Linked DNA regions of Lonchura striata. The main gene of each other region encodes a partner of the protein of the gene in region 2 in a complex. Links are inferred from orthologs where the notes say so. Each region holds a gene or a part of one and is shown on either strand. Other genes may lie near its edges. The genes, in order: ASB9 and CKB.

The links.
Region 1: the proteins of CKB (region 2) and ASB9 are in contact, whole or in part, in a cryo-EM structure (PDB 6V9H), measured with the Homo sapiens proteins. The link is inferred for Lonchura striata from reciprocal best matches to the Homo sapiens genes CKB and ASB9. Residues at the interface, in NP_001814.2 of Homo sapiens: Asn63, Pro64, Gly65, His66, Pro67, Tyr68, Ile69, Thr71, Arg130, Arg132, His191, Val198, Ser199, Pro200, Leu201, Leu202, Leu226, Trp228, Glu232, Ile238, Met240, Asn286, Arg292, Gly303, Lys304, His305, Glu306, Lys319, Arg320, Gly321; in NP_001026909.1 of Homo sapiens: Leu25, Asn27, Pro28, Leu29, Met30, Gly31, Asp32, Ala33, Val34, Ser35, Asp36, Trp37, Pro39, Glu42, Ile45, His46, Trp60, Ala67, Asp68, His69, Glu75, Ala100, Asp101, Trp102, Val111, Asp133, Leu134, Ser165, His166.

What each region holds. Positions count from the first base shown.
Region 1 is NC_134604.1:100,006,486-100,018,565, forward strand, and holds the start of ASB9 (ankyrin repeat and SOCS box protein 9), read right to left. Parts: upstream 6,746-12,080; 5' UTR 6,511-6,745; coding exon 6,417-6,510; intron 1,789-6,416; coding exon 1,709-1,788; intron 733-1,708; coding exon 625-732; intron 1-624. UniProt on the Homo sapiens protein: Substrate-recognition component of a cullin-5-RING E3 ubiquitin-protein ligase complex (ECS complex, also named CRL5 complex), which mediates the ubiquitination and subsequent proteasomal degradation of target proteins.
Region 2 is NC_134608.1:10,101,351-10,113,430, forward strand, and holds the start of CKB (creatine kinase B-type), read left to right. Parts: upstream 1-5,118; 5' UTR 5,119-5,235; intron 5,236-6,062; 5' UTR 6,063-6,082; coding exon 6,083-6,275; intron 6,276-6,722; exon of another isoform or gene 6,723-6,732; coding exon of another isoform or gene 6,733-6,910; intron 6,911-7,382; coding exon 7,383-7,537; intron 7,538-8,444; coding exon 8,445-8,577; intron 8,578-9,432; coding exon 9,433-9,604; intron 9,605-11,068; coding exon 11,069-11,192; intron 11,193-11,857; coding exon 11,858-12,047; intron 12,048-12,080. UniProt on the Homo sapiens protein: Reversibly catalyzes the transfer of phosphate between ATP and various phosphogens (e.g. creatine phosphate).

The DNA.
Region 1 (12,080 bases), on a different chromosome or scaffold from region 2:
TTCTCAGTTATTTTAGCTGAAACACACCTACCCATAGCCTTCTCCTGAAACAGTCCATTTTTGGTTGAAAGTGTGCAACCCTTCATTATTATTTTTTTTTAATTTTAAACTGAAAGGTAATATCTGTAAGGTAATGGATGTATGAATGAATGTCCTTATTCACTACAATTTTGATATTAGCTTGAAAAGTAGTGGCCATGAGACACGATTTCACCATTTTACTTGCATCTTGTTTCCATTTTCTTCCCATTTTTTGTCAGTTGGTTGTCACAATCCTATGATTCTACTTTAGATTGCATATTGATACCAATAAGATTAATGCATGCATAAAATAAAACACACCCTTAACTGCTGCAGGATTATAAACACTTTGCAAGATTAACTTCCCCTTGTTCTTGTTACAGATGAGAACATTTCATCCTCATCTAAAGAACAATAATAACTGTTGCTTATATCTGTACTTTTTTTTTTTTTATTAGGAAGTGCATTTCATAACTACCTTAAGCAGAGCTATGTACAGAGTGCAAACCACAGAGATACTCTGCCATGACACCAGGTAGCATTACAGTGTGGTAGTACAGCATACTAACACTAGAGACAGAGGTCTGTCCATCACCTACTCACCTGAGCACCATGTTTTAACAGGACACTGGCACAGGCAGCATGACCCCCTAGGCAGGCTTCATGGAGAGGAGACACCTGGTCTGCTGTAACAAGATTGACATCATTCCCCTGATAAGATAATGGAAAATATCATTACAAACAACTACTAAAACCCCCATACCAAAATCCACAATAAAAAAAAAAACCTGCTTTAAAAGCTTTATGTAACTAGACCTTCCTCAACTGCCTGGAGCTATTCATCTCAGAAGTAAGCAGATGAAGGGGATGAAGAGGTGGTAATGATTTGGGTGGAGTGGATACTGGCACAGGATACCCGAGGCCATGCCTTGTACACACTGAAAACCAGCACAGAAAGCTTAGTGGACTGTCCAGTGGGACAATATATTGTGGCTGTTTGACTAGCTGGAACCCTGAAATGCTCTTGAAGTATTTTCTGCTCTTTGCCTCAAGGCAACCACTGAAGGAAAGAAAGGCATCAGAAACATTGGTTGGATTCTCCAGGTTCTTTTGTTTCTATCAATCTTGGTGCTCAAGAAGACTAAGCTGGAAGAGTCTCCAATGCCCCTTCCCTTTCCATTATCTCCTTCACAGGTTAAACCCAGGGATTTTGAAGAAACAAAGTGGTGAAGTTCAGAAGTCATTTCTACCTATCCCTGACCTTCTGGAGGAACTAGGATATGCTCAGGCACTTCAGAAACAAGTGTCTGGGTGACTGCATTGAAGCTCAACCAGACCCATGACTGGGTCCAGAGCTGGCCTTCAGCTGGGGCACCAAAAACTCCTCACTGGCATGCACAGGAGCTGCAGAGGAGCTGCCCTTGGCCATCCATAGATCCCACTGATCCCATTTCCTCTGCCACAGTTAACATATCACCCTGGATAGTTTAGTACATCTTCAGATTAGTGCACAAAGCTTGTACTGGGCAAGGAACTGATTGTAGCGAAGAAAAGCCCGTTGCATGCAGATTTTGCTGTGGCCTGGTTAACAGGATTTTCTCACCCTGAAGTTTCACAGTGAAGCACAGACTGCATTCATCCACTGAACAAACCCTGCAGACACCACATGAACCCAGCTGAGAGGTACCTGTTCAATGAGCTTCTTCAGGGAAAGCAGACGCCCATGGATAGAGGCCTCATGTAGAGGAGACCAGTCTGAAACAAAATCTGTATAAAAACAAAGACAGGAAAAAGGCTAAAACTTCTATTTCACTAGCATATTTTACTTCAACTGTGTGACCTCCCTTCTACTTTATTTGAGCTGCCAAGATTTCTTTGGAGCAGATGGTGTGAGGGAGACAGACAAGAAGATGGTTTCCCTCTGGGTGCATTTTTAACTCATCCCATGTTTGCACTGCACAGCTGTGCTCCCCTTCAGAAGACAGGAGGGATTTGCAGAACATCACCTGGCTCTGGCTGAGCTTATCCCTCTCTCCGAATTATTTCCAGGGCCCTTTATTTTTTTACATGAACTTATTACATTTTACCAATTATCTCAAAAGGAATATGTTTGAAGAGAGTTTGGCTGATCAGTCATTTACCCCGGCTCAGAGCTGGACTAGAGTCAACAACACTTGGCAAGAGAAGGGACCAAAGTACAAGGAGGCAAAATATACTACCTGTTGATTCTGTCTTTCTGTTTTCAGTGTTTGTTATGAGTGGTGCATTTTAAGTAATAGCTGTGCTGTCTGCATTGTTGAAACTACAAAGTGAGGTACAGCACATACATAATGTGCAAATATTAATAGAGAGAGATCTTCAGTATTACAGATTTTATGGCTCAGAGTCAACTGACAGCAATAATCCCTCTGGGAGATATTTATGTCCCAGCACTCAAAACCCAGTGTCTGCTCTATGTCAATGTGCTAGGTTCCCCCTGGGAAGGAAGGGAAGCCTTTACAGAGGGCATTTCACACAGCTTCCTGTTAAAAGACATTTTGATGTTCTCTGGAGATGTCCCACTCTCCTCCACTAACTACAGAGAATACTCCAGTGACCAAGTTGCTGGCTGAGTTGCTGAGGTTCTCAGGAACTATAAGAAAGCACATGCATGGAATGGAATCCTTAACAGCAGGAAGTCTGCCTTCAGCAAAAAACCCTAATAAGCCTATAATTCTTTGAAAGAATGTTTACACATAAGCTGATGATCATAACGGTTTTAAATAAAAAGAAGGTATATTTAGGCCAGACATTAAAATGTGGTGGTGGAATAATGGAACAGGTTGCCTAGAGAGGTAGTAGATGTCCCTTTTGTGGGAAGATTCAGGTCAAGGTGGGTGGGACTCTGAGAAACCTGGTCTAGTGGAAGGTGTTCCTGCTCATTGCAGGGGTGTTGGACTAGACAACCTTTAAAGGTCTCTTCCAATCTACACCTGGCTATGAGTCTATGAATTAGCTTTTAAAGAAATCTGTATTCTTTGTTATTAGCATTATTTGAGCTCTGCCTGCCTCCTATGCTCCATGGGCTGCTTCCCACAATAGTTACACAGTTTCATTAGGTTCCCAAATATCTTCAGCTTTAGCAAACAGACAGGCAATTCTGGAAGCTGTGGTTCTAGTTCATGAGGATGGCAAACCTGGACAACAATTATTAAACCACAGACTGATTAACTGACTAAAACATCTTTGCTCTAAGTGATGTGTGTTAAATTGATGCTTATCTGACTGTGCTGTTGCTCTTGTTGGTCCTGCCTGTGTTACAGTCACTTGTGTTTCCAGGGTTTTTACATTTAGAAACTAATGCCATTGCCTAAATTGCATGAGTTGTAAGGGAAGTATGTTTATAGATATTCTAAAAATCTAGATTTAAGTACCAAGTTTTTTGAGCTGCAACTTGAACTTTTTTTGGCTACACAAATATTGGCAGGCACTTGTGCCTGTACCAACCTGTGCATTATACCAAAGTATTATATCATCATGTCATGATGATATAAGAGGGACATATCCATGTGTGGATTTTATCCATTCAGTCCTTGCTTAAGAAAAGACAGGTTTCCACTGAAACTCTAAAAAGAGCCAGACCAGCCATCTGTAGACTGGACATTGGCTTGCAAGTTTCCAAGTTTTAACAATGAATTAAAAGATTGACCATATAGGCATTAAAAATAAATGTCAGTAAAAAATAAAAGAGATATGTGCTGACACGTAATCTATCTGGGAGTTCCGTAACTGAGAGAAACCTAGAGTTTTATCCTAGGTGGAAGTGGAGCCCTATGGAGCCCTAGGGAGTCTGTCACACCAGCCTTGGACACCTTGGGAGGAGCAGGATTAAAGGCCTGACTGATGACTAATTGGGATGACATAATTCCAGATCTGCTGCCATGAACTGCACAGCCTCAGGCTGATGTTTCTCCTGCCCTACCTCCATCTGCAGCAAGCACTTCTAACCTGAAGCAGTGCCAGGAAGGCATTGGAATGGAGGCCCTTGGAAAAGATGGCAAATTTCTTCAGTTTCTTAACCCCAGGCATCACCTTCTCACAAATAACCATATTTCTTTTTTCTGCCTGCTCCAGGCTGGAACTCAAGGTCCTTGCCTGGAAGAGGAGAAAGGCTGCAGTAATTTCCATGTCTCACTGCCCTCTTTTACACTTCACAGGAGGCACACTATCAGAATATAAAAGATGTGTATTGTATTTGATTAAGGCCTAAGCAAATGTCAATTCTAGTTGATTATGGGCTTTCAAAATCCCGAACTAGTGATTTTCATGAATGTGCCCAGAGCACTCTGCATATGGACTAGCAAGGCCAGTGTGTGTGGGGGATGCAGTGGTTCATTGTATGTACCACCACCAAAACAAGGATTCCTGATTGTCAAAAATAGTACAGCTGCTCTTTCACAAAGAAACAAGATAATTTGTCCAAATTTGAAATTTACCCACACCTTAGTCCACAGGGAGTCTGAGTCAGACCCCAGTAGTTTAGCTAGACATCTAAATCCCACTGGCTTTCAGTGGCTTTGGGTCACCTCCCCTTCCACTGCAGAAAACTCCAGCCAGCCCAGAGGTTACATTAAACCCCTGGTCATATTTGAGCACTGCCATCACTCAGGCATGTGACACTGGCAGGGTGGTGTATACAGAGGGAGTCTTATAGCAATAACCATGTACACATGCAAAATCTGACTGCTCCCTGTGCACAACAGAGCTCTCACAGGACCTTTCTAGAGCACTGGTTTTTGTTGTGATGGCTGAAGCAACTTTTTGCAGCCTCTGACCATGTGAGGGCATTGCACATGGTGCCTGTGCCTGTCCCCAGGCTGGTTTCTTCCCATGCCTCTCACATACAGCACAACTTGAAAGGGGCTCTTAAGTCCTCCTAGTGAAGGTGTGCTCTTGCATTCATATTTTCAGATACAAAATCCTATGGCATTATATAGAACAGTATTACAAATTGTATTTTCCATACTCAAAGGCTGTCCCTTAAAGTTTGTGATCTACATAGCTTGAGCTAAACACATTCCTGCTGGAAATTGCGAGCAGAGCTTATTGACTCTGCTAAGGAACAGGCAGACACAAAAGGAATGGACTAAACTTTGATTTTCAAAGGACCAAATGATCTGTGTGCAGCATTGTGCCATGTGGGATTCCGTCCTTCCACCCTCCATTTTGCTGGAGCTCATCTCCAGTGTGGACTGGTTCTATTTCACACAGTTAATGGTATCACTGTGCCTTCCTGCTCAGCCCAGCCTCAGGCTGTACATACATGGCACACACGGGGGCAGGCAGACTACACTGCAGATAGACTGGTCAGCCCTGCATTTTGGCTTTATGGTCTTAATTTTCAACTTAGTGTTAATGGAAGCATCCTGAACAGCCCAGAAAAAGAGCAAGGATAGCATAGTCACATTTTCTGAATTTACCTCATTCCATCTGCACTCGCCATTAGAGGAAGGAGTAACTTAACAGAAACAGAGCTACAGCGAACACATCCAGCTCAGGATACAAAGTTTAATTACTTGTCTTTTTTTTACCATGTCATATTTTCAATGGCTCTGGGCCAGACACAGAGCAATGACCAGAGTGAGGCCATTTGTCTGAGTAACTGCTCACTATTATGTGCCCACAACAGCACTGGTCACAGCAATGCCACTGAAGAAGAGCCCAGTAGGCTCAGCCTAAACAACACTTAGGTCTGTTCATCTGAAAGACAAGGGGAAAGGATAAAAGATAAAGAAAAAAAGGATAAAGAAGAAGAAAGATAAAAATGAAAAAAAAAAATTAAAATAATTAAAAGGAAGGAGAAAAAGAAGGAAAGTAAGGAGGAAGGGAATGAAAAAAGAAAGAAAAAAAGAAAGAAAAAAGAAAGAAAAATAAAAAGAAAAAATAAAAGAAAGAAAAAGAAAAAAAAAAGAAAAAAGAAAAAGAAAAAGAAAAAGAAAAAGAAAAAGAAAAAGAAAAAGAAAAAGAAAAAGAAAAAGAAAAAGAAAAAGAAAAAGAAAAAGAAAGAAAAAGAAGGAATTGAGCTACTGCTGAGCTTCCTGCTGGCACTAATTTAAGTCAAACACGCCACATTTCAACTTATTTCTCAGTGTGCTGCAGTCCAAGTGCTGCTACATTTATTTCTGCTTGCACAAACTGCAGTACAAAACCAACCACTCTCTTCTATGACACGAAAAAGAAACAACCAAAATTTCAGTATCAAACAGAAATAGCTTTTTTTTCCACGAAGTCGTGGGGGTGTTTTGTGGGACCGGGTGAGGAGCTGTCCTGAAGCAGGACCCGGGGAGCAGCAGCACCGCAGCCCCCGCTGCCCTCCGGCAGGGCTGAGGCTTGTGCCGGGCAGGAGCGTCACTCACCCCTCATCAGCGGGCTCCACGGAGTCGCTGCAGATGCCCGGCCTCCAGCTCCTTGCAGTTTGCTGGCATTTTGATTCGTTCTCTCATCATCCATCTCAGCCCTGCCTGCCCAGCCGCTGTCTTTTCACTCTGTGGCTGGTTTCCAGAGTTCAAATTCCATGTTCCCCGGCGAGCCCGCAGCGGCCGGAGCGCTCTCCGGAGCGGACCCCGCACGCATGAGCCGAGCAGCGCCGGCGGCAGCTCGGAGCGCGCAGAGCCGAGCGCCGGGGCTGCGATTTGACAAAGCTGCTCCCGGGCTGCCCTGCTCGGCAGCCAGAGACCCAGCCAAGCCAGAGATGTGCCTGATGTCACATCCTCTCCAACGAGACGCCCAATCGGGGCGCCCGCCGCTCTTTTTTATCAGGAAGGAAATTCTTAGTTTGCCAAAAAAAAACAAGACAGAAAGAGCCAGTTCGACTAGTTGAACAAACTCTGCCTTCAGGGGATGCGCAGAGAGAGCCGGCAGAGCTAGGGCAGGCAGAGAATAGGGCAGGGAGAGAACAGGGCAGGGAGAGCCGGCAGAGCCAGGGCAGGCAGAGAATAGGGCAGGGAGAGAACAGGGCAGGGAGAGCCGGGACAGGGAGAGCCGGGACAGGCAGAGAACAGGACAGGGAGAGAACAGGACAGGCAGAGCCGGGGCAGGCAGAGCCGGGACAGGCAGAGAACAGGACAGGCAGAGAACAGGACAGGGAGAGAACAGGACAGGCAGAGCCGGGACAGGGAGAGAACAGGACAGGCAGAGCCGGGACAGGCAGAGCCAGGACAGGCAGAGAACAGGACAGGCAGAGCCAGGACAGGCAGAGAACAGGACAGGCAGAGCCGGGACAGGCAGAGCCGGGACAGGCAGAGAACAGGACAGGCAGAGCCAGGACAGGCAGAGAACAGGACAGGCAGAGCCGGGACAGGCAGAGCCGGGACAGGCAGAGAACAGGACAGGCAGAGAACAGGACAGGGAGAGAACAGGACAGGGAGAGCTGGGACAGGCAGAGAACAGGACAGGCAGAGCCGGGACAGGCAGAGAACAGGACAGGCAGAGAACTGGACAGGCAGAGAACAGGGCAGGGAGAGCTGGGACAGGCAGAGAACAGGACAGGCAGAGAACTGGACAGGCAGAGAACAGGGCAGGGAGAGCTGGGACAGGCAGAGAACAGGACAGGCAGAGCCGGGACAGGCAGAGCCAGGACAGGCAGAGAACAGGACAGGCAGAGAACAGGACAGGCAGAGAACAGGGCAGGCAGAGTGTCTGTTTTGCAAAAGTTCTGTTCTCACAGGTCATCTCTATTTAAAATATTTTCCTTCCCAGTACAGTATAATTTACAAGCACAAAATCCTTTTTCTGTCACTGAATATTTGCGCATTTGTGTTCAAGTGGAAGTAGGCTTCTACTTATGTTCAAGTAGAATTTCCATGCAAATTCTAAACCATGTAATGTTTTTCTTTTTTTTCTTTTTTTTTTTTTTTTGTCCTGTATGGCTACTAGAGCAAAATTTGTGTTTGTGTATTTGAGGATTTGAAGTTGCTTATAGTATTTTGATTCTGATCCTAACTTAGCTGAGCCTAAGAAACTTGGTTTTAATTTTATTTCTTTCTGTAATGTATGCAAGAAATCTGGAATAATATTTAGGGTTTCTTTGTCCATATCTTTAAAAATAATAATTTATATTAAAAGATGCAAACAGCAGCTGAACATCATCCACACACTTTGCCAACAGGGAATCTGTGACAGCAGCCTGGGCACAGATGAGGACAGGGCCAGCCCTTTCCATGGCACTTCTTGCTGAATGCAGCATGGCCTCCCATGCTGGATACAAGCTTTGATCTCCCTGAAAATTACATTTGTGTCTTAGCCAAACTGGTGTGGGAAAAATGTGTAAACAGAGAACGTGGTGTATGTAGGTATTGTTTCTGAGGATTAACATGTAAAAAGAATGAAAAAAACCCATTTTTTTCTCTTTAGTGTTACTTGATTTTAGAGGTTAGGTTGCCCCTTTTCATGATTGATCATATTGCTGGCAGATCTAGTATTAACAACCATTTCAACAATTCCACCACCAAAAGGAATCCGTGTATGAAACCAAATGTGCAAGCTCAGAGCTGTGTTATCTTCTCTGATGACCAAGAAGGTAAATGCAGTAATGACCAGTGAGACCTGGTGCCTCAGGAAGTTTGCAGATTTGAATGAATTTGAATGGTGCAGTTGATATTCCTTAAGGACAGGATGCAACCGCTGGGGACCTGGACAAGCTTGAGGAGTGGGCCCATGAGCACCTCCTGAGGTTCAACAAATCCAAGTGCAAGGTGCTGCACCTGAGTCAGGGTGATCCCAGACATGAGCACAGAAGACAAGGGAGGAGAAGTCACTGAGGGCAGCCCTGCAGAGAAGGACCTGGGGGTTCCTGTGGATGAAAAGCTGGACATGAGCCCACAGTGTGCGCTTGCAGCCCAGGAGGCCCAAGGCACCCTGGGCTGCATCCAAAGCAGCCCAGCCAGCAGGTCCAGGGAAGGGGATTCTCCCCCTCTACTTTGCCCTCATGAGACCCTACCAGGAGTCCTGCATCCTACTGTGGGGTCCAGCACCATAAAAACATGGATTTGTTAGAGCAGGTGCAAAGGAGGAGCACAAAGATGCTCAGAGAGCTGAAGCACCTCTCCCATGAAGACAGGCTGAGAGAGCTGGACTTGATCAGCCTGGAGAAGAGGAGGCTTTAGAGAGGCCTTGCTGTAGTCTTCCAGTACCTTAGGGTGCTTATAAAAAGGAGGGAGAGAGACTTCTTACATGAGCAGATCATTCCAGACCAAATGTCAATGGATTTAGATTGAAAATTTAGATTTATATTAGATGCTAGGAAGAAATTCTTTGCTCACAGACTTGTGAGGTGCTGGAAATGTTGCCCTGGGAGGCTGTGAATGCCTCATCCCTGGAAGCATTCAAGGCCAGATTAGATGGTACTCTGAGCAACCTGATCTAGAGTGGCAGCCCTGCTCATGGCAGGGGCCTGGGACTAGATGAACTTTAAGGTCCCTTCCAGCCCAATCCAGTCTGTTGTGACAGCTGTGCTCCTCTGAGCTACATTTCAGATGCCCTTATGCTGACATGCAGCCAGATTACAGCAGAGAGTAACTAGAAAACACACAGATCCTGAGTTTGACAGACATAAATTATCTCCTGAGCTCTTGCTTCAGCTAGCAATTCAGGCATACCTACAGAGGCAGTGTGTGGCTTTGGCCTGGTGATCACCTTAATATTATTTAACCATCTATAGCCACTCTACTTCTTAAGCATCATTTTGATGTGAATGGAATCATCAAACTAAATTAAACTCCCCAAATAACACATCCCAAAACCAGGGGATTCCTATAGGTTGTTCTCAGCCTTGCTGAGAGCTGGAATATGCAAGAAGGCTTTGATTAATTTAATCTCTTTTGTTGCTGATCTTTTATGTAAGCAAGCAAAAAATTCTCCAGTAAAAAGGGAACATTTTAACATCAACCTGGATCTCAAGATAAACAACACAGAACTTCAAATACAGATTAGAAACAGCTTACACAACACAGAGACACACCAGAGCTTTTAAGCATTACAATATTATTTTCCATTTAAGTAGCAAATACATCCCTAAGTTCTACATAAACAGGCCTAGTACAGAAATTACTTTATCCTTATTCAAGTGCAGCCATCCTTGGTGCATAGAAGTGCACAATAAAGTGGAATCAACAACAGTTAATATTACTTTTTTCTATTTACATCATGTCTTATAAAAGGAATATTTTCTTTTTCCTCCTTCAAAAAAAAATCTACATTTTTTGTAATTCAATGGACTGTTCTACTGTCTTGGTTCTTTTTTATTTCCAGTTGTTAATCAATTTTTTAACTTGTCCAGATAACTTTTATACCAATTTTATTACTATTAGCACAAATATTGCTTCAAAAACGAAAATACACTACTGGTAAATCTGTCTTGGTATGAAAATTGACCCTTGGTTTCTGAGGATGCAAATCACAGAATTACAGGAAATGTTTGGAAAATTGGACACAAAACATAATTTAACTTCAATTAACTTAAATTTAGTCCAACTGAAGTTCAATTTAACTTCAGAATCAGGGTGAGAAATCCTAGCTTTTCCTTAGCATTAATGAAGAAACATAGGCACTTTCAAACCATGCTTTGTCTCACCTACTTTAGATGCTTGCTCTGGGGGAGCACATATTGAATATTAGAGTCAGTCTTCACCAACTGTAAAAGGGATCCCTAAACCATGAGCAGAGAATTAGGTGGAATTAGATGTGTATGTGTAAACAGCTGAAACCCGCTTTGAAATATGGGTGAACTGACAGCCAGGGGTCCCAGCTCTGACACCCCTGAGTGCTGCCATGTGCCTTGTCCTGCACAGCCTCTGGGTGCTGCAGCTCAGGGTGAAGCATCTTCAGCCCAGACAAAAGCCAGCATTGCCCAGTGCCTGAACCACAGAGCCTCAACTTTGGAGTGCCTGTATCTCAGAGCAGGGTTTTGACAGACAATTCTGACAGATTTATCTGCATTGATCCAAGCTATTGCTCCCAACTCTCAGCAGAGATTACCCAGTACCAGGGATGGCAGCACTGGCCACAAAGTGATGCCACAGCTGTCTCAGTACTGGGCCATCGTGTCAGCTCAAAAACCTGTAAAAGCTGTTTTCTTCTACAGACTGTAAACTTGAGCTCTGAGACACTAGCACATGCCAGATCCTCCTCTAAGGCAGCAATTTCCAGTCAGCAAGCAAGGCACACATCTGGGACAGCCATGTTTTAAATCACAGCAGTTAAATCTGCCAGAGCTTGCCCACAGGAGTACTAAAGCACTGGTGTCATTTCCAGAGGTACCTGGGTTTTCTTTGGAAAGCTGCTGCGAAATTCTTGAGCTGACACAAAGTGGAGAAGTTCGCCCTTGGAGAAATTAATCATACAGTCTGATTCTTGTATCCCTAATTTCCTTGCCTCAAATCAAGTCTCTCCTCCAGAGGCTTTCCTTCTTTTACAGTTTTTCTAACATGAAATGTTTCATTTTCCTTCCTCTCACCCTCACAGAAACTTCCCTTTGCAAACATCCCGTCAGCCTGGCTGGGGACCAGACAGACTTCTGCAAGTAAATGTTCCCTTCTGCAGGATGGCCAATTGACTTAGCAAGAGAGACTCTAAATTGAAACAAAAAAACCTTGAAGAAAGCTTCAGACACATCTCAGTTGCATTCTGGCTACATCAGTAGCACCTGGATCTGTGCTCTTATTCATTGCAGATGTGGAGAAGCACCAAGATTTCCCAAGGAGCAGGACAAACATTGCATGAGAGCTTGCAAACAAGTATTGTGTCAAGAAAGGGATTAGGGGCATTTCCCCACAGAGAGAAAAGCAACAACAATCAATTTTTCACCACCTGGTGCCAGTTGTCTCTCAGTGAACATCTGTGTAAGCATCTTCATTTGTTACAAAATATATATTGACATTTCTTTCTGAACTGGATTTAAAACATATGTTTGTACTCCTGCTCAGGCAAAAATAATCCAAACCCTGAAAGATGGTGAATTAAAATTTGGTTTGGTTTTTGTTTTGAGGGGTTGTTTTTTGGGTTTTTCTTTTTTGTTGTTGTTT
Region 2 (12,080 bases):
AGCAGGCAGGGCATTGCCGCAGCACCGCTGTCACTGCACGGTGTGGGGGCAATGGCGGTGGGGGGATACTGAGCCGGGGCCCCCTGACACGGGGTCAGGACTTTTCTCTGGGTTTGCCATGGCTGCAGCGACCTAAACCCAGCGTCCCAGGCGATGCCTCGCAGCCTCACGAATAAAACCACTAACACGATTCTGTGCTCCTTCAGTCATAACCCAGGCGCACATCTCCGTTCCCTGACCAGCTCCCACAGGACGTGGCAGGCTGCCGCTTCCCCCTCCCGAAGCCTGGCTGCTTGGCGCGGCGGCAGAGGAACGTCCCGCAGGCGAGGCAGGCACAGCCCCGTCCCCGCCCCGGCACACGCAGGCTGCGGGTCGCTCCGTGCCCCGCTCGGAGGTGACCCCGCTGCCAGGGCTCCCCTCAGCCCCTTCCGTATCCCGAGGCGGCAATGCGGCTCCTGCACCCCAGCAGCGCATCGGCCCGTGCCAGCGCACCCGGGAACCTCAACTGCGGCAGGTGAGAAGCACGGACTGGACCGGGAAGGGGTGAGAGGCGGCATTCGCCTGCGGGAGAGCGGCGTTAGCCCGTAACAGCCCCGGGCGGCCGCTCCGCGGGAGAAGAACGCCCTCGCCCCAGCGCCCCGCGTCCCCGCGGGGACGCTTCTCCCCGTGCCCCGAGCCCTTTACCTCCCCAAGCCCGGCCCGGCTCTCCTCACACGCGGAGCCGCCCAGCGCCTCCTTCCGCCTCGGTCGCAGGCTGCTGACGCTCCCGCCGCCTCCGCCCCCGCCGGCCCTGCCTGGGGCCGGGGAGCCGCCGCGGCTTGTGCCCGGCGCGATCAGACCTGGCTGCTGCAGCCCTCCTGAGGTGCCGCCATGCCCACAGCTCCATCAAGGCGCCCGTTCCTCTGAGCCCGTCATGCCCCCAGTCCCATCGAAGCATCCATCCCGCTGAGCACACCCGTCCCCTCAGCCCTTCGAGGCGCCTGTCCCCGCAGAGCTCTGCTGACCGCCCCCGCCCCGTCCTCTCAGCGCTCCTTGCTGGGTCCTGGGCAGCGGGGGCGGTCACTGACCACCCTCAGCAGCCCCCCGGCACCCCGGCGGGTGCTCCTGCCTCGGGCAGCAGCCCTGTCAGTGAAACTTGAAGGGAAAAGCTGCAATGGGTGCTGACAGCCCCGGTGGGAACTTGGCGTTCATCACCCTTTGAACGTGTAGGGTGTCTCGAGGGCCACCGCCAGCAGGGCTGAAACCCCTTCCCCAGGGAATGACTTTGCCATTGGCAGAGCTGGGCCTTGCCTCCGTGGCCCCCAGGCACACAGCTTCCAGAAAGTTCTGCATGCCCTTCCCCCGGGGCAGCCTCAGGGAAAGGCCAAGCAAGCTCTTCACAGGGATTTCATAAGGCTGCAGGAGAAACCACACTGTGGGCTCAGAAGCAGCAGAATTGTTATCTAACCCCCTAACAGCATGGTACTAACTCCTACTTCTGTCTCATGTTTAGGATTGAAGTGATGTGGAGAGCCCTGCCTGCCCTGGTGGTACGGGGGCTGTAGTCAGGAGGCAAGGTGGAGCAAAGGAGGAGAATATTGCCTCATCTTCTGCTCACAACAAGCCCAGGCCACCTGGCATGGGAGCGGTATGGGCATAGCAGGCAGCATGTGAATCACCTTGGACGTGCAGGTTGTGTTCCCAGCTAAATCAGATAATCCTCTGTACTGTGCTGCATTCACCAGTAACCTGTAATACACAATAATGGAGAAAAAGTCATCGTTTCACAATCACAAACCCAGTAACGGAGAGCTGTTTAGATGATGATCTGTGATTTTTTAAATTAATCTGGTTCCACCAAGAATAAGGGATATTTTCCCACTACCTTCAGTGAGAACATATTTTTTGTTATGGTGTTGACCTGCCCATAACATAATTGCAGTAGTCTTTGTTAGTTATGAAACTCTTCTCCATCTAATCTAAACATAATGTATGCAGTTTCAGAGGTTTCTTAAGCTGCAAACTCCTACTCAGCTGTTTTTCTGACTGGCAATCATGGCTCTACTGTGCCTTTATATTTGCACCCACTTTGTTTAATTTTCTGTCATTTTTAGTGTCATTGGTTATATTTGTCATTGTTTATGTTCTCATGTCCTTTCTTTCCCATGATGGGCTGCTGTTCAGATCACTGTGGGCCTGACTGTGTGCAAGATTGAGACACTCAGCAACTCCTCATTTCCATAGGTACTCAGCTCACTGGAAACAATCAGTAATTTACAACAGCCTGCCTAAACAGTGAGAAAAAATGCACCAAGGATAATAAATAAGCAAATACATTTTAAGTGATAAATGGGAAGAGAAGTTTCATTTGACAAGTTAAGCAGATGGAGCTATGGCCAATTTCTTTAATCTACTGGTACATGAGTGTTATGTTTAATTTTCAAGTGGTGTTTAGTTGTAGATTAGGAATTGGAAACAATTCAGTTGTTCACAGCAAACCACTTTCTCTTGCTGTTTCCTAATTTGGAATATTATTCTGTGTTTCCAAGATGGTATTTATCCCCTAATTCTTCAGGTCTCTATTATGTTCACGCAAGTAATTTCAGAAGACACATTCACTAGCTAACACCCATCTCCTCTTGCACTTGCACACCACACAACATTTATAATTAAGCCTCTTAGGAAGTTAGCTGCATGGCCCTTGATTAACTTCCTTTAATTCTTCATTGTTAAAGTTCAGTGCAAAGACCTCTGGAGTAATCAGGCCACCTTTCCAACTGGAAATGTAGCATATAAATCAGTATTCACTAAGATACCATCCCAGCATAGACAGTGAGTATTGGTGCCTTTATCACAGTCTAACAGGCCATACAGGCTTATCCAAAGCCAGTGTTTCCCAGCAGATGAGGCAGATAAAGCGGGTGATCAGAGGCTGTTGACACAGGGCACAGCATCTGCAATTAAGTCACTAGGGAAGCTGGCATGGAATGCTGTGACAAAGATAGGATCCAATTTACACACAGCTTTCAGCAAATCTTAAAATGCTGTCTGAGTAAAACCCAGCCACTCCTGACTTACTGCACGCTAGAAATTTGTCAAATAGTGTTGAGAAGAGGGGGGTAGAGGGTGCATTGTTTGTCAGACATCTAAATTGGATATATTTTAGTGATTTTATGTTCCTGACTCTCTTTCCATGTCACCCAAATTCTGTGAAGAAGAGGTGTGTGTTTGTGTTGGAAGTGCTGTAATGTTTGGCACATTGAGACTTCTACCTGCTCACCATGACTGGTATTCCCTGTTCTGCAAGACAAAAAGAAGAAGAGCATATGCGATGAAACAGATCCTTGGATTTTGAATCTTGAGGTGACCTTGACTCCACAACTCTCCTGAACAATTACACTACAGAACAGTTGATTGCTTCTTTGTTTGTGTGGCAATAGATTATGGACTAAGATAAAAGGAGCCTTCAGAATCTACACTGATTGCCTTTTTTTTTTTTTTTTTTTTGTGGAGAACACCACCACAAAAATATGCCATAATGTAAGAAGGTTGTTTTAGTATATTTCTATTTCAAATTAAGAATAAAAATGTTAGTGCTTTACATTAAAAAAATCTGCAATCAGAATTATATTTGCAGCTGAGGCAATCCAGTAATATTTCATTTCTATTGTAATTTATTGAGGACTCTAGGTACAATTTTACACTTGTAATCATTTAATACTTGTATAGCCATGCATTATTTGCAATTCACATTATTCTGAAGCATGAGCACTGTGTGAAACTATTAGTGTGTAGGGGAGGACTTTGTGAGGTTAAAAGTGCAGAGGAGACCAAGAGAGAGGATTTGTTCTTTGATCCGGAAGCCAAGAGACCGGACTTGCACAGATGCTGAGCCCTTGGCTTCTCCTGGAGATCTGTATACTCAGCATCTCAGTCTACCAGACCTGGAATAACTCGGAAATCTGGATGGCAGCCAAACACAGCACATTTTTATTTGAAGCAGTCTAGGCTTTTTATTTTGCAATGATTTCCTCTATATGTATATTATGATTTTTAAGTCCTAAGCAGTTCTGTAAAGTGCACATGCTGTTTGTTGTTAAGGTGAGGGTACTGGTCATGGTGCTGAAAGGATTGTGATGGGGAGAGCGGTTCAGGTGATGTCTCCTGACATTCACAGCTCATGCCAATGAAAGCAACTCTGGAACTCAGATCCGCACTCTCATGTATAACTACACTCTGTTTGGACAGGAGGATAAACATGGATTCTGCTGTGAGAAACACGTCAGAGAAAGATAAAGATACTATTATGTAAAGGTGAAAGTCAAATCAAGATACTCATTCACATTGTTAATATACTGTAATTTCTGCAAACAGCAGGATTCTGAGCTGCGTCTTAGCTCTGGGACAAACCTGCTCATTCCTACAAAAAGACCAGTGCAAGTCTCTATTTTCATGAATTTCAGGTGAGCTTTAGATGGGTCAGATCCCAGAGTTCCTGTGCCTGTCTTTAGTAGGAAATCACCCCCTCTCCAATAAAAGCTGAAGAATTTTTTTTTTTGCACACAAGAGCAGAGGATTCACTGCGATTTTCGCAATCACCCTACTTCCCTTTCAAATTGAACTGTAAAACGAGCCCACGGTTTCGCAGGTGCTGGAGGCGAGGTGCAGGTCCTCCCTCTGCAGAACCGGGCTGCCGGGGGCTGGGCGCCACATTCGCAGCCGCCTCAGGGCTTCTGCCAGCTCGGGGCACTTGCCACTGGCCAGGCTCGCAGCACGGCCAGCCCGCACACTACACAGCGCTTCTTTTGGGATGGTGTATTAAGAGACCTGCGTTTGAACCCTCGGCCAAGGTGTTGGCAAAGGTGTGAAGCCTGTAACCAGCCACGCTGGTGTGCGGTGGCGCGCCCTGGCCGGTGGCACACCGGACGGATCCCTGCCCTCACGCTCGCGGTAACGAACGGCGCCGGCGCCGCCCCAGCGCCGCGGCAGCGGCCGAGGACCCCGCCACCCCCGACCGAGCTCCCCGACGCCGAGCAAAATGGCGGCGAGCGCGGGCCCGGCCGGCGGCGCAACGCCCGCCCCGCCCGCCGCTGCGCGGCCCAATGGAATGAATGGGCTATAAATAACGGCCAATGGGGCGCGAGCTTGGGCTCTATATAAAAGATGCGCGGCGGGGCCGTTGCAGCTTCACTCGGACTCGGGCAGTGCGTTACGCGGAGCAGCGCGGAGGTTCTTGCTGTAGCTGCGAAGCCCGCGGTAAGTCCCGGGGCAGCCGAGACGTTCTGCAGCCTTGAAACAAAGGCTTTAATTTTTTTTTTTTTTCCTTTGCTTTTTTTCCCTCTCCCGCTGTGTGGGGTGGAGCCGGTCCGGCTGAGGAGGGGCGGCGCGGGGCAGGGGCGCAGCCGGGGCGGGGGGCGTGGGGAGCGGCGCAGGTGCTCGCCGGGCTGGCTGGGCTCTAAAACCAGATTAACCCGGTATTTAGCAGGGTAGTTACATACGCTCGCCCCGTCCAAGTCCCCTGAGGGACCTGCCTGTTGTGTAAGGGCTTGTCGGATGCTGCCCTCCCTCCCCGGTCGGGGAGCAGCCGGGTGTCGCGGACGCGGAGGGCGCCGTCGCTCCTCCGGCTGCCCTCGCCCTGCAGCGGCGAGGGGAGGCGCGGCCGCGCACCGAGGGTGCGGCGGTGCCGCCCAGCTCGCCGGCCGGCCGGCCCGGGGTCCCGGCGGGGCCGAGCACCCCCGGCTCGCGGCCGCTCCCCGGCACCGGAGCCGCGCGGGTCCGCCCGGCGCTGCTGCGGCTGCTCCGCTGACCTTGGGCGCGTCCCCTCACCCGGGCGGCGCCCCGGGAGGCGGCGGGACCTCTGCCCCTGCGGCCGGGGTGGTGGGCACGGGGCACGGCTAGTGGAGGCGAAGAACTTATTTTCTTTTCCTCTTCCTTGGCGCTTGTGGAAGGCGATGTAGCAGCAAAGGTGTGAAAGGCGCGGGTGGAACGTGAGCCAAGGTGACCTTTTGGGTGCCTGGCGTTCCCCCGGGCGGTCCGGAGGCTGCCAAACGCCCAGTGATAGGCTTCCCGTCTTTCTCCCCTAGTGACTGCGGTAGGGTCAGCCATGCCCTTCTCAAACAGCCACAACCTCCTGAAGATGAAGTACAAGCCAGAGGAGGAGTACCCTGACCTGAAAGCTCACAACAATCACATGGCTAAGGTGCTGACCCCGGACCTGTACAAGAAATTGAGGGATAAACAGACTCCCAGTGGATTTACCCTGGATGATTGCATCCAGACTGGGGTTGACAACCCAGGTAATGGGATCGTTAGGTCTGCATAATGATCTGTTCTCCCTCCTGACTGGAAGTGCTTCTTGACAATGCTACCCAAAGTTCTCAAGCTACCGAGGGACAAATCTAAAGCACTGAGAGACTGCTCTAAAGGCATGGCTCTGTTGGGAGGCCATGTTTCCATCAAGCTGTGTTTCATGCTGTGATCTGACATACCAAGTCCCAGACACTTCAATTATGTAACTGCTCTGCTAAATACTTTCAATCTGAAGAGGGGAAAAAAAAGTCAAACCAAATGCATTCTAATTATAACTCATCTGGCGAGGGGGGGGAAAAAAAAAGTCAGTTTACCTGGCTGTCTTGATCTCTTCCTATTCCAGACTGGTTATATGATGTTTTGTAGCACTTCTATGAAAAAGGGGGAGCAGATGTGTTTACATGTTAACATTACAGTATTTATTTTTACTCTAGCAATATCAAAATGGCCCAACTAAATAATCAGAGACTGCCTCCTGATGAGGAGTATCCGGACCTGAGCACCCACAACAACCACATGGCCAAAGTTCTAACCCTGGATTTATACAAGAAACTGAGAGACAGAGTCACGCCCAGTGGCTTCACCCTGGATGATGTCATTCAGACTGGGGTTGATAATCCTGGTAAAATGCATTGAGAATATTCCGTGTGAACCAGCTGAAGTAACTGGTGCTTTTAATATGCTGACTTAAAGCTAATCTTGTGGAGGTGGTATTTATAAACAGACTACAGAAATGTAGCAGAAGGAGCGAAAAGCAAAGCATGCTTGCTTGCAGCAAAGCATGATTGTTTAGACATAAAATTCTATGCAGTGATCTAAATTAGCTAGTCAAATTAGATGTGCTGTGCAAATTTGTCCTAAACCAAGCTTGACAAATGAGCATGGTTTAATGACAATAGCTATGGGTTGCCATAGCATTGCATTTGACTAACTGGATGAAGTGTAAAATGTAGGGTCTCTCCAAATGTTTCTATGTGAGAATGGAGTTCTAAGTGACTAGACTTGCCACTAAACAACTTGCCTGGTTAGTGCTGCACTGGAGTACAGCCAAATGTCACCCAAACTTAGCTCTTCTGACTTTATTACCACTCCAGGCCATCCTTTCATAATGACAGTAGGATGCGTGGCTGGTGATGAAGAATCCTATGAAGTGTTCAAGGAGCTCTTTGATCCAGTTATTGAAGACAGGCATGGTGGCTACAAACCAAGTGATCAGCACAAGACTGACCTGAATGCTGATAACCTGCAGGTATAAAGTTTTGATCAATTACAGATTATTAGTCTGAGGACTGTAAAGTTGTTGGCAGCTGCCTAAACTGATTGCTCAGGCTCTGTCCCCTTGCTTCCACCGAGCATGGACACTTGGGCTGTGAGTCTGGTGCAATCAGCCTGAAGAGCTTGTTGCTGTGGGATGTCAGTGGCTGGGCAGCTTGCATGCAGCAGGAGCTTTTTACAGGTGCTGCTGAAGCGTGGGTTGTGCCAAACACCTTCAGTGTGTATTTCCTGAGTTGTGGGTTCTAGCAGTCAACCTTAACAACACTGTCGTGGAATTCACGGACTGTCATAAAACTTAAGCTTTCTTTTGTCTGATCTTGGATCTTAATTAGCAGCTGATGGTGTTGTGCTGTCAACGAAATATTATTACAGCTGGAAGTAAGGATTCTTAATCATTTTATGGATTTTAAATGTTACTGTAAACTAAACTCTGGGAATTCCTAACTCCATGATTCGCTAGCCATAAATCATACTGAAAATAAGAGACTTGGGAGAACAGTAATGAATAATTCTCATTTGCAAGAGTAAACATGTACTTAAAGAAGGTTTTGCCTCATGTTGATATTGCTAGGTTGCGAATCTGTAAGGGGTTACAGAAGCCCAGACCACAGTCTGAAGTGGACTTGGAACTGATGCTCTGGTGATATCCCTGCCTTCTAGGACTACTTAGTAGCTATAGCCTTGACCTCAGAGCAAGAGTTGTGTTACACAGATGCATGATGTGATGCTGAAGAAAGTAGCCCTGAAGTGAGGCACTGCTTACAGGCCATGGAGTCAATGCCTCATGTGTAAAGTGCACTCTTAAGTGCATGGGGGCTACACGTGTTTAGGGGAGCTATCTTGGTAACAGGGTTGTGCTTGCTGGTTTCCTAATCTTGTAGGGAGGTGATGATCTGGATCCCAATTATGTGCTAAGTTCCCGTGTCAGAACTGGCAGAAGCATCCGTGGATTCTGTCTTCCCCCGCACTGCAGTCGAGGAGAGAGGCGGGCTATCGAGAAGCTCTCTGTTGAAGGTAAAGTGAGAACTGGGTGCCTCAGGGACATCATTCTGTCCTTTGCACAAGAGGTGTTCTTTGCAGTTTGAAAATGGAAGCACTTGGCAAAAGCCACCTCCCTGGAGACAGTCTGAACATGGAGCCTTTTCCCTGGAAAAGGCTCATTGCATTAGAGCTGCCTCAGCATTGCAGCTTGTAGCTGAGAGCAAGTGCACATGGCAGAGGGAAGTTGGATTGCATTAAGGTTGACCTCTGCTGATCTCAAAAGCTTCTGTCTGTGTGTGTGGGGAGACAAGTTGGTTCATCAGGGCTCAAACCTGAAATGTAACAGGTATGTAGCAACTACAGGGCTTGAGTCATGGGGTGCAGTGTTTTGTGGCTGCATTTAATTGACTTTCATTAACTTTCAGCTTGCTTAAGAGATTGTAGTCTTGTTCCAAATCTGCAGCTGACTAGAGTAAGCCCTGGTTTTCAGTGAAGCTCTTCAGCTGTTTTTTTTCCCTGTTGCCTCCTGGTGCTCAAAACCTCTCAAGGGCAGGGTAACAGTCCTTGACAAGAATAATACTGCTTGTTACATTCATAACCTTGGTTCTCCTTGGAAGAAAAGCAGTCTCCATTTGTACAGTTCAGCAACAGTAATGATTCTATACTGCATGTAAGGGAACAAAGGCTAGTTGTACGAGCCTGGAAGGTGCAGACAAATCATCTGATACTGCCTCAGGTTCTGCCACAAGGGCATTGCTATTGCAGATGAAAGCAAGGGAGGAACCAGACCCAGCAGATCAAACATTGCCATACTTGATGTGTGGTCTCCAAAGTGCTGGGAAAGTGTAGAACCTTTAGCTCCATTCTAAAAGAATCTCTCTCTTTCAGCTTTGGGTAGTCTGGACGGTGATCTCAAGGGGAAGTACTATGCTCTGAGGAACATGACTGATGCAGAGCAGCAGCAGCTGATTGATGACCACTTCTTGTTTGACAAGCCAGTTTCTCCTCTTCTGTTGGCATCTGGGATGGCACGAGACTGGCCTGATGCCAGGGGTATCTGGTGAGTATGTCTGTGAGGAGGCAGTCATAGAAGTTAAAATCTTGCTGTTTCAGTGGTGACTTGTACTGTTGGGCAAAACAGTAGCTTCTCACCTTGTGTTACTGTATTTGATGAGAAACTTCCATGGAGAACTTGCAGTTAACCAGCAAAATTTTGACAAGTGCTCTTATGCTGGTAAAAACAAGCCAGCTTGGTGTTAGCCCAGAACCGGAGCCTGCATGGGTTAGTGAACCACCATGCAAAAACTGGATCAGCTTATGGAAGTAGATCACTTGTAAAGGAGCAGATGTGCCACTACAGTCAGCTCTTCCACCAAGAGTTGAGAGTAACTTGAGGTACAAACCATAGCATTGTCTTAGCTCAGGGTTGATCTTGGGTGCACAGTTATTCCCTTGTCTCTTCACTTCTGCTTACAGAAACTCAAAGGGGCTGAACTAGTATGGCTTTATCTGTGCTAGTGATGAGATCTTCCCTGTCCTCAGAGACTTGGTGACAGGAATTGACTGATGCAGAGGTGTGGAATAGAAGGATCCTGCTGGTTTTAAATGTAGGTCACCTACATAAAACTGCATCTCAGGAGCTTCTGCAGCATAATTAACTTGCTCCCTTGTAAGCGAAGGGCTAGGTTTTTATCAACAGGAATGCTCCAATCTTATTACTGCAGCTGTTTCAGTACAACCCAGTGGAAGCACACTTTGTTTCTGTAGGTCACCTTTAAGATTGCATCATCTACCTGCAGATTGCCAGCACCAGATAGCGCTGTCATCTGAGCATGACTAATCTACAGACTTGAAGTGTGTAATGTCTTAGTGTTGTCTGCATAAATAACTTTCCTCGGGTACTAGCTAATTTTTGATCCTAATCGAGTTCAGAAATTACTAGCAAGATAAACATGGATGATAGTACCTGCTGTCAGCTGCAAGCTGGGGCAGGAGGATCCCATTGTTCAGAAGATTTTTATATAGCATCTTTGAAGAGCCCTGATCCAAGTGAAATTCATACTGAAAGTAAGGTACGAAGTGCAGTTTGACATAATCTGACACAATACTGCTAAACAGGCTTGTTACACATGGTGTCATGTACATTATTGTACAGGACATTCTCAAAGTCTACTGATCACCTTTCTGCAAATTGCTGAGCAGAAATACCTTAGTTTTTAAAGTGGAGACACAAGTGAGCTAGGAGGATGAGAGGATGTGGGGGTTTTAGGTTTTGATACTGTAAGATTAGGCAATGCCTTGTTATTACTCGTTCTGTAAAAGCCAATTGAAATTACCTCTTGAAAAGAGCAGGGTAACAACTACCAGGTTAACCCACATCCTGTGTGGGCAAAAGAAATAAGATCAATCTTGTTGAAGCAGCTAAGTGAGCATCTTGAACTAAAAACTGCAGTGATGAGCAATTTGGGGCCATCTTCAAAGTGTGAGGTGGGCAAGACAGCAAACTGATTGCTTTGTCTCCTAGGCACAATGATAACAAGACTTTCCTTGTGTGGATCAATGAGGAGGATCACCTTAGAGTTATTTCCATGCAGAAAGGTGGCAACATGAAGGAAGTATTTAACCGCTTCTGTACTGGACTAACAAAGGTAAATTGCTGTTGTCTGGGCTGTAGGTTCAAATGGCACATGGTTCTCTGGTTAGATCTGAGAATGCAGTTTTCCTCCATTGTTGTGTTTCATAGTCTGGATCTCTGGGAACACCCTGGTGAGATGCAGGGCTGTGAGGGCTTCAGAACAGGTGTTTTGGCAAAAAGCCTTGTGGCTGTGTAATCTAGAATATTTGCTTGATGTGGTGGCACCCTTATCCAAATGTCTCAACTGTATTTTAAAGAAATTCTTCAGACACCTTAGGGAGGAGGAGAAATTGCTTGAATGTGCATGGGCAAAGCTGGACTCAAGTTCTGTACTTCTAGTCTTGATATGAGCTTGAGCTTTACCAGCCCCTTTCCTGATCATAAGAGATGTGCTAGCTTGACATGTATTCAATCCAGCTTCCCAACAAATAGTGACATAAGAAGCATAGCTTTTAGTCTTAGCCTCTCTCACTGCTAGGAGCAAGATGAAGGCCTTAAAAGCCCCTTGTTGGTGGCCGTTTTTTCTATAGGGAGGGGGTTATGTGGCTGAAATAGGTGTTCTGAGTGTTGTGGCTGTTGCTGAGTGACTGAAGCTGCAAGTGAGCACTAATGGATGTCCTACAATCTTGAGGTAGAGAACATCTCTATTCATTCTCTCTTCATTCTTTCTATTTATAGATAGAAAGTCTCTTCAAGGGCAAAAACTATGAGTTCATGTGGAATCCACACCTGGGCTACATCCTGACCTGCCCATCCAACCTCGGAACAGGGCTTCGTGCTGGTGTGCACATCAAGCTCCCACACCTTGGGAAACATGAGAAATTTGGAGAAGTCCTCAAGAGACTTCGTCTGCAGAAACGAGGCACAGGTGAGAGTTGGTAACACTGATGGGCTGCCCTAA